Linked DNA regions of Oreochromis niloticus. The protein of the gene in region 1 purifies or fractionates together with the protein of each later gene. This does not show direct contact. Links are inferred from orthologs where the notes say so. Each region holds a gene or a part of one and is shown on either strand. Other genes may lie near its edges.

Region 1 (7,681 bases):
TACACTCACAGGCCGTTAGTCCCCTTTTTGCCTTGAGATTTACCATGACTCGAATCTCCTATTCCACCACATCCCAGAGGAGTCCTACCAGGCTGAGAACTGGTGACTGTGGAGGTCATTTAAAGTTCAGCATAGGCATTGTTGTGTTCAAGAAACCAGATTGGGATGATTTGAGCTTATACATGGTGCACAGTTGTGTTAAAGATGATGGGCACACTGGTCATAAAAGGATGAACATGATCAGCAACCATACTCGGTTACGCTGTGGCATTACAACCATTTCGCCACTACCAGCCTGAACAGTTGCTACAAGGCAGGATGGATCCATGCATTCATGCAGTTTATCCCAAACTCTGACCCTCACATTTGAACGTCGCAGCAGAAATCAAGCCACATCACAGCAGGTAACGTTTTTCCAGTTTTCTGTCGTCCAATTTTGACAAGATTGTTTTAACTGTAGCATTAGTTTCCTGTTCTTGGTTGACAGGAGTGACACCCAGTGCAGTCTGCTGCCCCTGTAGCTGTTTCAGCGTTCAACATGTTGTGCATCTCTGCTGTGCATCTCAGAAGAACATTCAGAGATGCTCTACTGCATAACTTGATAGTGCCAAGTTGTTTTTGGAGTTACTGTTTGCCTTACTATAAAGTCTGACTACTGTCATCTGACCTTTGGTATAAACAAGGGGTTTTTGCCCAGAGAACTGCCGTTCACTGGACATTTTTTCTTTGAACCACTCCCTGTAAACCCTAGAGATTGTTCTGTGGGAAAAACCCAGCAGTTTATGAATTACTCAGCCCAGCCCATCTGGAACCAACAGCAACAACATGCAACATTCAAAGTCACTCCAATCACCTTTCCTTCCAATTTTAATGCTTGATTTGAACTTGAGCAGGTTGTCTTGACCACGGCTACATACTTCATGTACCTTCGTGTGGCATGAGCCATCATGATAGTCATTCATTTAAATGAGTGGTGCTGCATCAAGCCCACAGCTGCCAGAGAGTCTTCACTTACTGGTGCACTCCCTCTACCTCCCACTCTTGGGCTTCATCCAAAGGTCTGGTTAACTGGTCCAGTGTAGTGGGGCATATTTCAATCAGCTGACACAGCAATGACCAGCCAACCTGTAAAAAGGAAGAACAAACAATTTATTAAAATGACGGGAATGAGTCATTATAATAAACCAATGAAAAGTAATGATTCTGATCTCAAGCATACACATTACAGTACTGAGAAAGAGCGCCACAACCTGCTGCCATATATGAATCTTACAATCTCACTTTCAGTTTGCTTCAATATGCAGTCTTACCTCTGATAATTAGCATTACACGTCAGTCACAAGACATGCTAGATGTATAGGTGCGTCAGTCCACAGATGATTTGTCAACAACAAAGAGCTGAGGCTGTTTTAGCGAGTGATGCTGCTGAACACACCTCACCTCACCCAGATAGCACCACCTGCCATAATAATGGCTAATTCTTGTTGTGTCATTCATTACCTGCTGGACTCCTCTGCTGCTGATGTGGGTAGACAGAACCAGCACGAGGGGCACGTGGACATCTTTGTCTTCAAACAGTTCAGCTGCTACAACATGGAACAAGAGATAAGAAGACACGATGAGTCCCATTAGTTTTGAATAGAGTGACTGGGTCTTTTACCCTCATTCCTATTTTTAAATGTGCATAACAAGGCAGCATTACAGCAGGGCTTCATTGTGCAGGTACAAGTCTGTGCTTAAAATCTACAAATCTAAGTCAATCCCATTTTAAATTTGATTTCAGGTAACTTGAATGTGTTTTCACACCTAGTTTTAAGTAAACTATAATGGCCTTAGTATGACCCCAAAGACATTATGTTTTGTATTTAAGATAAGATATGCTTTATTTATCGCCAAAACTGGGAAATTACTCAAAACAGCTAAATCATTAACCTGCTGTATAACAAACCTTAAAGTAGACCATATGAACAAATAAATACAGCATCAATAGACTAGAAGATGGAAGGATGGAAGGGAAAAAATGCACAAAAGGATCAGAGTTAAAAAACAAACAAACAAACAAAAACCAAGAAGAGTGAATTACATTGTGGGCTGAAATAAATAAAACCATAAAAACGATCATGCAAAAGTAGTGAGTGTCATATCACATTTCACACTGGGCAAATACTACTTGATTGAATAAAAAAACTTTAATCTGACCTAATTCTCATAAGGCAATGAAAAAATGCCAAAAGGAAATGATGGCTGTTTATGAGCAGCGTGATGATGCACACGCTGAAACAATGTGCTTCCTACCATAGTCGGTGTGCGCCAGGAAAAGCAGATCCTGGATGATTTGAATCAGCGTGCACAGTTGCCTGTCTTCCTGGGGAGTTTTCAGCCTCACCAAAAGTTTTTTCAGCCTTTCTTCCAGCTCCTCTTTGTTAACCATGGTCTTTAAAGTGCGGTGTTCCAGCTGACGACTTGACGTGCATTGAGGTCAATCACTGCGCTCTCTCAGAACCGACAACGGCCTTCGAGCGGCCACACTGAGCGCAGCATTAGCGTATAAATAACTCACTGAAAATCCACTGTAGTTACTCATGTCTTTACAAAACATTACTGAATTGCTGTGTTGCATAATAATACAGTAGCTACAGACAGCTATAAGTGGCTGTCGCTACAAGGGAAGCGGTCAGTGTCGCGGAGTTTCGGTTCCGACATCACAGTCCTCGGCTAACTTTCCTGTGGCAGAGAATAAGTTCCTCTTTGCGGAGTCGGTGATTTTATGTTGCTTGGATGTGAAAACGAAGCGAGTCCTCTCTGAAAGGCGTGTTCCTGCTTTCCTACGATCGCATCATATGACTGCAGGCAGTAAAAACTCCCCGCTTACAGAAGAGGAAGCTGAAAATAGAGTCAGAGAGAATCCGACTTTCTCTCTGGCAGGGGAAGCAAGTCAGACAGAGAGCCAAGTCAAGCGGCTATTACGTTACCCCCCAACGGTTTTTTTGTTGTTTGTTTTTTTGTTTTTTACTTCAGGCTACACTTTTACAGGCTAACGAGTGGCTTCAGTGAGCCCTCCCACTCTGCGTCTAATGCCAGTTGCTGATTTACAGATTTACAACAATGCAGCTTGACCTGGCACTGACATTTGCTGTGTATGATGGAGGAAAATTCCCACACTAAAGCAAACTCTAAAATATTTTTTAATTATTTCAGTTAGTCTCTAAATTAGGTGTCCTCCCAAAGTAATCACCCCTGTATAGTAGGGGTGAGCGGATCGATACCAAAGCTTGTATTGGTATTGAATCGATAATAGGTAATATGATCGATACTTTGTTTTTTTTAATGCTGTGTTCCTGAATAAGTCGGAAGTTCCGAATTCCCGGTGAGAAATATTTTGTGGAATGCCCCCTCAACTCAAAAATCCCACCACACCAGCAGCTCCACATAGAATTAACATAACTAGGTGGCATCACTGAATGTAAACAACAGTAAAACTGTATACTTTTAATCTGTACTGCCACTGTTGTCTAGTTGTGACACAATAAAGTCATAGTGGAGAAATTCCTACATGCATCGCTGTTTGCAGTGTTTTCATTTACAGCTATAAATATCTCGACACCAGGTGCACCTAAGTCATGTGACTCCACAGCAACAAACCACAGGGAGGAGGTGAGGGTGGAGCAAAGTGTGGCTGCCTGAAAGGACCGGTGTTTGCACAGACGTTAATACTTTTTCATGAAGCAGGAGCAATATCAATGCTGGGATCAGTACTTTCAATATTTGCATCAATGCACCCATCCCCACTTGTTAGAGTTACACTGTATTGCTGTTTTTTTGCAATATGATTTGGCTTCCAAAGTAAAAGCTTTTTCAGTGTTGCTTTGTACCTAATGTGGAAAATTGGAAACAATTTGGTCAGAATATGTTAGCATCCGCTTGGCTTGCTGCCTATAAGTTGGAGTTTTTCCTGGTGGATGAGAGGGTTTGTTCCCTGGACCTTTGAGTTGGAGAATGGGTCCTGGCTGTCGTCTGCGCCCGTGCACCAAACGAAGGTTCAGAGTACCCGGCCTTCTTGGAGTCCCTAGGTGGTGTGCCTGGGGGTGCTCCACCTGGGGACTCTGTCGTCTTACTGGGAGACTTCAACGCTCATGTGGGCAACAACAGTGAGACCCGGAGGCGCGTGATTGGGAGGAACGGCCTGCCAGATGTGAACCAGAGTGATGTTCTATTACTAGACTTCTGTGCAAACCAGAAATTGTCGATAACAAAGACCATGTTCAAACATAAGGGTGTCTATAATTGCACATGGCAATAAGAGACCCTAGGCTGCAGGTTGATGATCAATTTTGTAATTGTATCATCAGACCTGTGGCCCTATGTTCTGGACACTTGTGTGAAGGGTGGACCTTTTTCTCCCACAGAGAGGAAAGTAAATGAGTGTGAGGCTAAAACAAGAAATCATTGACAAAACTATGTTGTTTAAGTTATATAACACAAGTACAAACTATGTTATAGTCTAGGTACGTCCAGTATCCCTGGAAGCTGTGGTTCAGGTCCAGCTGTTCCCTGGCAAGGAGAGCACCATCTGATTTGAGGATTGGATGAGAGTCGGTGAGCACAGAATATCAGCTTGACATCGTGGTCATATCTTATTTTTCCTGTATTTAGCATTGGGTACAACCCCACGGCTCATTTTTAAAAATGTCTGCAGATAAAAGAAACGTCATCGATCACAGGAGGAAGACTGAAAGTTAGACTGTACTTTTTCTTGTAATTTTAGTGTAGGGGATGAACCAGTGATATGCCTAAATATCTTCACTTTTCAGCAGTTTTTTTTTTTTATCATTCAAAACTATTCTGAAAGACTACTTAAATAAAGAAAGAAGGAAGAGAAACTTCTAAATCTATTTCTAATCCTCATGCATCCATTGTTGGCACCTTCGTCGGTACTCATGACTTCACTTTTCCCAGAAATCTTTTACCTCCACCTTAATTATGCCCCCCCCCCCCAAGATTCAAACTGTAATTGTGCGACTGATATCACCAGAGTTGTCTCTGGTTTACTTGCCCCCCCCCCCAAAAGAAAACAAACAAACAAAAAAAACAAAAAACATTTGTATTCCCACACCTTTCTATCAGAACATGCATGAATTGTTGAATCGGACCACACAGACCATTCTTTGCTCCCCATGTGTAGGCTATCAGTGAGCCTTGAGGGCTCATGACCTTGTTGCTGATTTAACACTGCTCCTAAACAGTTTAGTATTGGAGATGCTCTGACTCAGTTGTTTAGCCTTCACAAATATATCCCACCCACTAACACATAATCAGTGTTATTCACGTGACCACTGGGCATTCATGTTATGCTATTGTTGATGTATGTTATATTTTTTGTATTCGGTCACTTGTTGTTTAGAGATTGTAGTCCTGAAATTTTATTGTAGGACTCAAGACTGCTTAGTGTGTTTTAAAGTATACATTAGACCACGATTTGGATGGGTTTTGCTTTTTGCACAATTTATATGTAGGAAAGCCCGGTGGAAAACGTGTCTTTATCTGTCAAGTGTCTGTTTGTTCTCTAAAGTAATAGTTAATATTTACCTCCGCGAAACGTATCCATCTAAATCTGCCCAAACTTACTAATAGCGCATAATAAAGTGCTCACAGTTAAAATCTTTGCCATGTTTTGTGGCCAGTGCAAATTCTTGCTGTCTTGGCTCATTAATCACGACTACCATAAAAAGAACCAGTTGGGCTACATTTTACAGTTCAAATGGGCGTGTTTACGTTTTTTTTTTCAGGGATAATATCATATGATCCACATAACAGACTTCCTGTTTGTTGAAGAGCATATCGACAGCAGCACTGTGCGCTGGAGGAAAGCAGCTTTTTTACAGGTATGGTAGAGTTTTTTCACAGATAGTTAAGGTGACCTGACAGGCTAAAGTCCAATAATGCGACTTATTTGACTTTACTGCAAACAGATAACTTATGGGGACGAGGGGCATAAGGGTCACTTACCATTCCGTACTTTTAGCATTATACGAATAAATGAAGTAGAAGTTACATTCGGAAATACACATGAAAGTAATGAAAAATAGATGAATGAAAAATATATACATGGGGAAAAAAGTAATCTGAATGAAAATTGTTCGCTCACATCTCTGCCGAATTTTCGAGTAGACAATACATGTGCTGTCAACTCTGGTTTTACGTGCACAACAGTCTCCGCTGAGCACAAATTCGTTAAAAATGACATTTTGGATGGAGTTTGGCACGGTGCTGTAGGGACATTGTAAACACTCAGTTTGAAAAAAAGAAACAACATTGTTTTTGTAGCCGGGTGGGCACGTGACCTCACGCACAAACATGGCTGCACGCAGAGCAAAGCAGTAGCGCTGTCAGTGGTGAACAAAAACATCTAAAGTCTGTTTAAAGTCATCAACCTACACTGTTTAGGCAGCTTTCCCACGGCGCGACTCCGAAATCTGCGACACAAGCAGAATCTGGCGCTCGGTTAACCACAGGAGTTTGTCACGAAATGTTGTCGTCATCAAAGTTAGCTAGTATAGCTGCTAAAATCACGACGTGTTGCTTTCTCGAGCTGGACACCTAAAAACACCCCCAGGTTTGGACTTTAACTTAGAGGTTAACGGAAAGTGTGGCACTGAAAATATTGCTATTTTTTTGTTGGGGGGAAAACGACAACAACAACAAAATGATTATTTTTTGTAATCTGTATTAATGGGAAATGACTGCATCCATGTACACGTCACCGCCACTTCCTCACAGAAGTATGTCACCTGGCTTATTTAATAAAGTGGTGACCTGCAACCCCTGGTGAGCTTAACCTCTGGTTTCTCCTATGTCCAGCAGCTATGATGAGTACAGCTTGGAGCACATGAGCAACCTTATGGCCAGCAGGAGACAGAAAGCCGGGGACGATGGAGAGCGGAGTCTCATAGGACCTCCATCTAGGCATGTGGATGAGAATCTCCTAGACCAGGATGCCCCCAAGCCGCTTTTTGTCTATTTGTTGGCATTTTTCTCTGCCTTGGGGGGATTCCTCTTTGGGTATGACACTGGAGTGGTTTCTGGAGCCATGATTCTCCTAAAGAAGGAAATGAACCTGAATGCTCTGTGGCAGGAGCTGCTGGTTTCCAGTACTGTGGGAGCTGCAGCGCTTTCTGCCCTGAGTGGAGGCTACCTGAACGGGTGGCTGGGGCGCAGGATCTGTATCCTTGTGGCCAGCTTTATCTTCACTGTCGGTGGCATCATCTTGAGTCTTGCCCCAGACAAGGTGGTCCTCCTTGTTGGCAGAATTACAGTTGGTTTGGGCATAGGTGAGTTGTTTTATTTAACACTACAGCTTGTATCGAGGTAAAGTCACCATTATGATTTTGCTTCTTATAAGGAGCCCTTTGTTTGACTTTCATTATTCAATATTTGCCGTATTCAAACACAGAGCTAGGATGTAATATGAATTGTCTGTGGGAATGCATCTGTTGTACATTAGCATGAAACTGTTCCCCTCCTTGCCTTTAGGCATTGCTTCCATGACTGTTCCTGTGTACATCGCAGAAGTTTCCCCTCCTCACCTGCGAGGTCAGCTGGTCACCATCAATTCCCTCTTTATCACTGGTGGCCAGTTCATTGCCAGTGTGGTTGATGGGGCTTTCAGCTACCTGAGACAAGA
Region 2 (7,430 bases), on another chromosome or scaffold:
GAGACAGACAAATTTACATTCCAGCTCTCAAAAAATATTTACACCAAATGATTAATCTGGAAAATAACTATCCATCCATCTTCTGTTTAGGGGTTGCAGGAGGCTGGAGCCTTTCCCAGCTATCATAGGGCGAAAGGCGGGGTACATCCTGGATGGGTAGCTTGTCTGTCCCAGGTCTTATACAGAGACAGATAACCATTTACACTCACATTCACGCCTATGGGCCTTTTAGAATCCCCAGTTAAACATGATTTCAGTTTGTTCTTTGCTTGATTTAAAAAATGAAATAATTAGTTTTAATATGTTTTTGACAAAGTTCTTAAACTTTAATTTCTTGTATTTATTGTAGGTGGTCAGCACCGATCTCACTGGTTATCACAGGTTGTCTTTGTTTTGACACAAACTGGGCGTAACAGTTAAATCTGCTTTATAATGTATCTATAATCCCCGCCCCAAGAAAAAACCAAAAACCCTCTTGACCAAAGAGACCGTGACATAACAATCCACACTTTTAACTATTAAAAAAAGATGAAAACTATTAATTAATTAATTAAAAAGAAATACCTCACATGTTTTGCTTTGTTTTATTTTTTCCAGAATAATTTACAGTCATTTGCAGAGCCTGAATAAACATGAAGCAGTAACAGAAGTGCACAAAAATATAGCCAAGGCATTTGATATTTTGACAGGAGGGTGGGGGTGTGTGTATTTTCTTTGCTATCAGCTGGTAGGAGTGCCGTTTTTCTTGCTGCTCTGTCTTTCCGTAACTGTCCTCCACATACTGTTTAGGGTGACTCGAGCCATGAGCAAGGTGATGGTAAAGTTACGTCTGTACCATTCCCTGGATACACAAAAAACAGAATGTTTCACTTTGCACAGTGTAATAAATGTGCTGATATAAAGATTCAAACAGGGAAATGCACAATAACACCAGAAGGGAGAAAAGGGAAACATTTGTGCTTTGACGGAGTTTAAATTGAAACAATAATAAATATAACAATCAAAAGTTAGAGATTAAATCCCACGCATGCTACTGAGGTGATGTGTGTGGGCGGAAAGCTTTGCCAACATGAAGACAAGTCAGCCACTTTGCATTGCTAATTCACACAAAACTTCTTCATAGCCTGTGAGGTTTGTTGTTCTTTGCAGATGAGGTGATACAGTGCAGTTAAAGCTCACAGCTGCTGCAGAGGGACATGTACCAACCCAACCACCCACCCACCCACCCACTCACTTACCCACCCAGCGGCATCATGGGAGACAAAACAACTCACTTGTTGTAATTTGCATGTCGTACTCTGTTTTTGTCCAGGAAGTTTTTGTAAAACGTGGCCATCTCTTCGCTGCTCAGGGACCGCCGTCGTCCTGAGGGAAGACACAGCAGACTGTGTTATATTCTCATTAGGATACATCTCCCCTGCAATTCACCAGCTGTTAGAAAAACAAACTGCTGTTTACTGTGCCTCCTGAGGAGCAGGCTACGAAGCAAGTTCGACAAAGCCAGGGTTTCTTTGTGTTGGCTGACTTGACCAAAAAACCTCAGTCAGAGATAGCAGGCATCACAACAGTGGTTATTAACTCTCTCTGGTAACCCCGGCTTTCTGTGCTCACATAAAAAGGGCTGTTTGATGTGTTTTTTGACACTTCAGACAGCACAGAATGGATCAGCTGAGCACCACCTACCCCAATCAGAGACATTATCACATGAATGGGGGATAGAGATCTATTAAGAATGTTAAATAAATGCAGTAAAATGCAACCCTGGTGCTGAAAGTACGAGTAATGCTGCAGAAAATTGTTAATTTAGTGATTTGATCATCACAAGAGCTGAGAGCTTAGCTTCAATGTTTATCTCTGATGTCAGAGCCACACATCGGTGCTCTCGCTGTGTTCAGCTCTGACAAGTCACCCACAGCCTACACAGCCTAACAAAGGAGACGTGGGAATTACTTTCGTTTCTCACAAGATCAGAGTGAAAATCATTTATTGTCCAAATAAGTTTTCTTGGTGATAAAAATCAAATAAATCTAATGATAAACTGCAGTCTTAAGCTCTACAGACTGCAAATATATGTATTCATCCAGCAGAGAATCAATATTGTGTTTACAAGACACTGTAACTAAAAGAATTTGTGAAAACTTTAAATCGAAACTCTAAAAATAAACTGGTACAAACCAGGTTATGTGTTCAGCATAAGTTACCATGGTGATCTAGCCAGGTATAAAGGAGCCACCTTCACTTACATCAAGGTCGACTTACATCACTCACCCAGTAATCTTGCTTCATAGTACACCCATCTGAGCTGGTTAAAAACTGCCTAAGTGCAAACCCAACCAACAATGTGAAATATTCAGAAAAGGCTGCATGTCCTCACCGTCCTCATCACGCAGAGTCAAGCCTTTTGCCTTCAGTTGTGAAATGATAAAAGCTTCTTTTTCCTGCAGACAGTGTAAAAAAAACAAACAACAAACAAACCTTTTAAGCTTTAACTGTAATTTTAAATGAGGTCATTCTTAAAATTAATTAAAGGGTCGTTAAATCAGATTTGGACTGGGGTCCACATAAAACCTACAGTTTTCCTCACTGTTTCCTCACTGTAATCTCTTACATAGCTGGGCCCTAACAGAACACATTAGTTGTACAATGCTCCCCTCTACTGGTGAAATGATTTTACACACGTACGAGCTCAGCACGCAGAGATTAATTACATCCACTGCTATTACAGTCTCCATTAATAATGATGGAAATGACAGCATGATGCTAATGCAAGTAGGAAGCTGGCAGGGAAGATAATGCAGTTAGTGGACTTTATCTTGTGTTTAATTTAATTTCCATTTTATTTTTAAGAAAAGTGAACTAACAAGCCGACAGGGATCGCTCACCCGGTTTTGTTTTGTAACAGCTACAGATGAATTTTCTTCTAATATCAGTTTGCTTAATTGGATTTTAAGCGGCAGTACGGCATACCTGCATATGAAATAAATAGCAGCAGTAGCAGGACAATGTGAATCATCATAAATAAATATTAAACTGTAATAAATTGGAAGACATCATCTTGATATTCTCAGGACAACATCACAAACAAATTCTTCTGGATGCACACTTTCACTTCATCCCTCATGTGCAATTTAGGAATTTAATTTAGGAGTAACCTTCAGTTTCTCTACAAAGACTAAAGACTCCACTTCCTCTGTAGCTAAAGGTTTTCTTGGAGCACATCAACTTCCCACTCTTATTCATACTCTGAAATCACCTGCCCCACAATGAACCAACAACCGCTTCTATGCCTGCTTTACACCACCCACCACCTTTCAGCTTATTTTCAGAAGGGCAGAACAGCCAGCAAAGTCTTAACTGATGATCTAACTAGCCTTAAATGAGTTTTATTCTCTTCCAAACTGCATGTCAGGTGCTCAGATGACTTAAAAGAACCAATTTTACCACAACTTTCTATTTTTCTATGAAAATATCGACATCTCAGGAGGGATGTCGACTCACTCCTCTTTACAGAAACTGCAGCTTGGCAACTCAAGGGTAAAGCTTGAGTGTTTTGTTTTTGGGATTTGGGGATATTCTGTCTCCATAAAATGAAGCTACCATAAAACGTGAGAAAACGTATAAATAAAGCAGGGGATCGAATTAATTTCCCCACTGTATCTTTGTCAGTTTCCATCTCAAGAGTTAAAAGCAGCACTATGCATGCTTCTCTCTCTCTCTACACTGTGCTCCCTATTTTTAGACAATACCCACCTTACTCTCCACATGGACTGGCTTTTCACCCCACCTACAAATGAGACTTCTGATAGATAAACTAGCTTTCAGAGGCCAGTCCCTGACCCCAGAAAAACACTTTGTAAAAAGTATTTCAGTAACCTTGCTGAAGGTGATGTTCTGCTTGGCCCAGAAGTTGTGGTTCCAGTCCTCTGTCTCCTGCCTCAGGTTTCTCAGTCGTTTCTCCAGCTCTGTTTCATTGTCCGGGATGTGGTAAATAATTGGCCGTAGGTTGGAGAGCGGGTTTGGTGGACCGACCCAGTCATGTGTGGAGCTGGGTTCTGGTCTATATGTAGATCTCTATGTAAAAGAAGAAGAAGAAACTACTGTAATGATGGGTTCAGACAGCACAGTGTCCGCACAAAAATAACTTAGTGGGAAAGATACAGGGTGTTAACACAAAAGTTGAGCGTGGAATTGCAGGTGACAACAGTCAGAAGGCTGAAGATGTCCCAAATTTCACCTATGCAAACCCCATATGACAGCGATGAGCTCATCAGACACAAATACCATGTAGTTTGAATTCCACATGCAAAGTTAGCATCACCAACGCAGCCACATCCGCACTGATGAGAAATGCACCGGGCAGCTATCATCTGGAAGTCAAGTTTAAAGACAGTCTGCTAAAGACTGAAACTCCACACAGCAGATGCACATCACGTGGCTTTAAATGAAAAGTGACCTACACCAGACAGCTTATCATTACCCAGCAGACTTCAAGACGGAAAGAGCAGCGAGGAATAAAAAACGCTCCAGGGCTAAGAGACGAAAACAGAGGTAAAACAATCCAAATGCAAAACATTGTGTCAGCAAATTCAGTCTGATTACTGACAGGCATATCAATGCACGTTTATATGTAAAGTAGATGTATTTACATTTTTAAAGAAATACTATATTATTAAACAGTTATTATTAAACGTCTGCAGTCACAAACTCCAACAAATGCATGTAATTTTGAAACGGTTAAAAAATGAAATCTAAGAAGATGTATTGCTGGAAACTTTAGGTCTTAAAATATAACTTTAAACCATAATATTTTAAATTGTTCTCCATTATTTTCCTACAAATATTTATACTACAACTGTATCATTAAAACAGACGTAACACCGATTTAACCCTAATAATGTCTAAAGCACTGCAATATATTTTTGTGAACAACACTTTATTTCCTGCAACGTTTAAAAAAAAAAATCAGCTTATTTCGTACACACGTCTTTAATGTGGGCATAAAAAAATGGCGCCACACGTGATCGTCAACAACAACAACAGCCGTCTATAGCTATCAAATGGCAGCCCTTTAAACCGTGTATAAATGTAATAAATTGTCATTATACAAACCTTTACTGGCTTGTCCTTCTGGGTTGCCTGTTTGGAGCTGCACAGCCGACTGCTACCTGCAGATAAGCGGAGACTGAAAGGACAGAAGCTCCTCCATATCGACCGTCTCGCAGCTGCAGCTGTCCTGGCGGCCATTTTTAGTAACCGACTAAAAACGGCGACTTAAATAAAACAAATCACGCTAAAAACCATTAAACAGCACAGGACTGAGCTCGAGGACACAACCAAACTTTCACTAAGCTCGTGCCCTTCTGTGTGCGCTGGCTGCCATTTGGTCACGTGAGCCCAACAAGGCGCATGGATGCGCTCGGCAATCTCACCGGTAAATCCCGGATTCACTTAAAAACGACAACAGAAAACATTTCGCAATGAAGGGTCGAAAGGTTTCTTGTCAGTTAAGGATATTCTTTAAATGTAAGACTACAGAAAGAGCATAAACACAAATGTGGGGAATAAATATATGTCTATGTTGTCTATTTGTTTATTTATTTAAGCTTAAGTCACATTTGTTTCCTCATTAAAAAATAAACGAAATGAAAAAAACTGGCTGTAGGATTAAAAGAAAAAAAACAAACAGATGTCAACCAAATTAGATGTTAGGAATATATAAATCCAGTCACCATGGAGCCAAAATCCCCACTCTATTTATTTTTCCTTAGCTGCAGCCCTTCCTATGTATTTTTATTGTTATTATTATTGTTATTGTTATTATTATTATTTTGTTGTTTACTACTTCTAATGCTATATTTCTAATACTGTATTTATAGACTATATTTCTTCTAATAATTATATTTCAGTGGTAAATGTTGCATTTTTACAGCAGAGTCAGGTGTAGAGGGGAGCTGAGCTGAGGATAACAGGCTGAGGAGGAGGAGGAGGTTTGCCTGGGTCCTGCTTGGAGCAGACGAAGTTGAGCAGGGCTAAACGTAGCTTGATAAATATCATTATTGTCTAATTAAACTTGAACACCACATGGATTATCTGTATAGGTTTCGGTATTAGTACTTTTGCTCTCACAAAGTATCTGAATGCCTATTCCGTTCGGTTATTGAATTGTTGGAGATGCTAGATTGTTAGATTTTTTTTTACTACATAATAAATAATGCTCGTCAATCTTTTTTGTTAACTAAGTTAAATAGACTAAAGTAAAAGTTAAACAGTAGCAAAGCCAGGGTTTATCTTAGCACCGGTAAACGACACGGAGTCACGACCAAATGAAGCGCGCCTATTGTTGGCCGACCAAAATTTGCACAAGGTTAAAAATAATAAAGCTGTTCATCCGAATATTAACACGATTATGCGATTTATTTTACATTTGTATATACGTGTCGTGCGATAACTAAACATCGACTTGTATTTCTTATTTGTTAACATCAATAAAACACTGATGTAATGGCGTCTCTTTAATATTAGCAAGGAAACACAAACTCCGTGTTAGTTCATATCCTCACGAACTGTAAAGTAAGTACTCGAAGGTAGCTAGGTAGGCTAATGTTTAGCTTTAGTCACAGGAGGTGCGCACTTTTCCGCAACAGTTCCGATGGCTGTACGCTGGCTATGCAGGTAAGAGCGAAACTGTTAAAGAGAGGTGGCGGTGTTGATGTATTCACACTGAAAAGCCAGAGTTATTTGGCTGAGGTGTGGCTGTGTCAGGTGATCATCAGTAGCTAGCTTAACACACTAACAATGGTATTCACAGAGGAGTGTCTGCTGTAAACCGGTTTTTGTAATGGCTGTTTCCATTTAAGCGTTTCATGAGTCCTTGGTAGCATATTTATTTTTAAATTAAGTTGTTTTAAAGGGCAGCGGAGGAAGAAATCTGGTGGTAGAGGCTGTGGGAGGGGCGACAGCAGCCCGACCGCAGTCAGTCAGTCACAGTCAGTCGCTGGATACTGAAGCTGACCGCAGGAGAATCGAGATCTTCCGGATTTCGGCTTTATCCCTTTGGATGCCTCTTTCCTGCACGAGCCGCCCAGCATTTGGCTGATGGAAACAGACATCCGTGAAAATGTGCGCGAATGTGTTCGGGGTTTTGAAAAGGTGAGAGGAATGCTGCTGCTGTGTGTGTGTATGTATCTATCTGTGTGTGTATGTGTGCGTGTGTGCACGAGAGAGAAAGGATGCAGCTGACAGTATCTGGAGATGCTTTGAGCCGTTTTGTCGAGATCTGGAGGTGTGGTATCTGTGCTTCTTGTAGCGCAGCTCCGGCAACATACATGGGCTCTCAGAGGTAGATGCGTTCGCACGCAGGCGGCGGGACGGGATTTTCTGCGGTGACATAATGCGCAAAGCCGTGCAGGAGGACCGGCAAGCATGCAGGC

What was found. Proteins that work in one complex are often made in the same cells at the same time.
Region 2: the proteins of lrrk2 (region 1) and bag5 purify together in Homo sapiens (co-immunoprecipitation; 3 studies listed by BioGRID and IntAct, with this or other methods). This does not show direct contact. The link is inferred for Oreochromis niloticus from reciprocal best matches to the Homo sapiens genes LRRK2 and BAG5.

What each region holds. Positions count from the first base shown.
Region 1 is NC_031972.2:42,293,235-42,300,915, forward strand, and holds the start of lrrk2 (leucine-rich repeat serine/threonine-protein kinase 2), read right to left. Parts: upstream 3,009-7,681; 5' UTR 2,432-3,008; coding exon 2,296-2,431; intron 1,587-2,295; coding exon 1,501-1,586; intron 1,126-1,500; coding exon 1,016-1,125; intron 1-1,015. Other genes in the region: proton myo-inositol cotransporter, read left to right, coding at 6,730-6,779, 6,859-7,328, 7,531-7,681. UniProt on the Homo sapiens protein: Serine/threonine-protein kinase which phosphorylates a broad range of proteins involved in multiple processes such as neuronal plasticity, innate immunity, autophagy, and vesicle trafficking.
Region 2 is NC_031983.2:6,396,796-6,404,225, forward strand, and holds the start of bag5 (BAG family molecular chaperone regulator 5), read left to right. Parts: upstream 1-4,426; 5' UTR 4,427-4,441; coding exon 4,442-4,548; intron 4,549-5,109; coding exon of another isoform or gene 5,110-5,244; exon of another isoform or gene 5,245-5,448; intron 5,449-5,898; exon of another isoform or gene 5,899-6,649; coding exon of another isoform or gene 6,650-6,672; intron 6,673-6,899; exon of another isoform or gene 6,900-7,117; coding exon of another isoform or gene 7,118-7,149; intron 7,150-7,430. Other genes in the region: coa8 (cytochrome c oxidase assembly factor 8), read right to left, coding at 721-841, 1,275-1,365, 2,375-2,438, 3,874-4,071, 5,110-5,244. UniProt on the Homo sapiens protein: Co-chaperone for HSP/HSP70 proteins. It functions as a nucleotide-exchange factor promoting the release of ADP from HSP70, thereby activating HSP70-mediated protein refolding.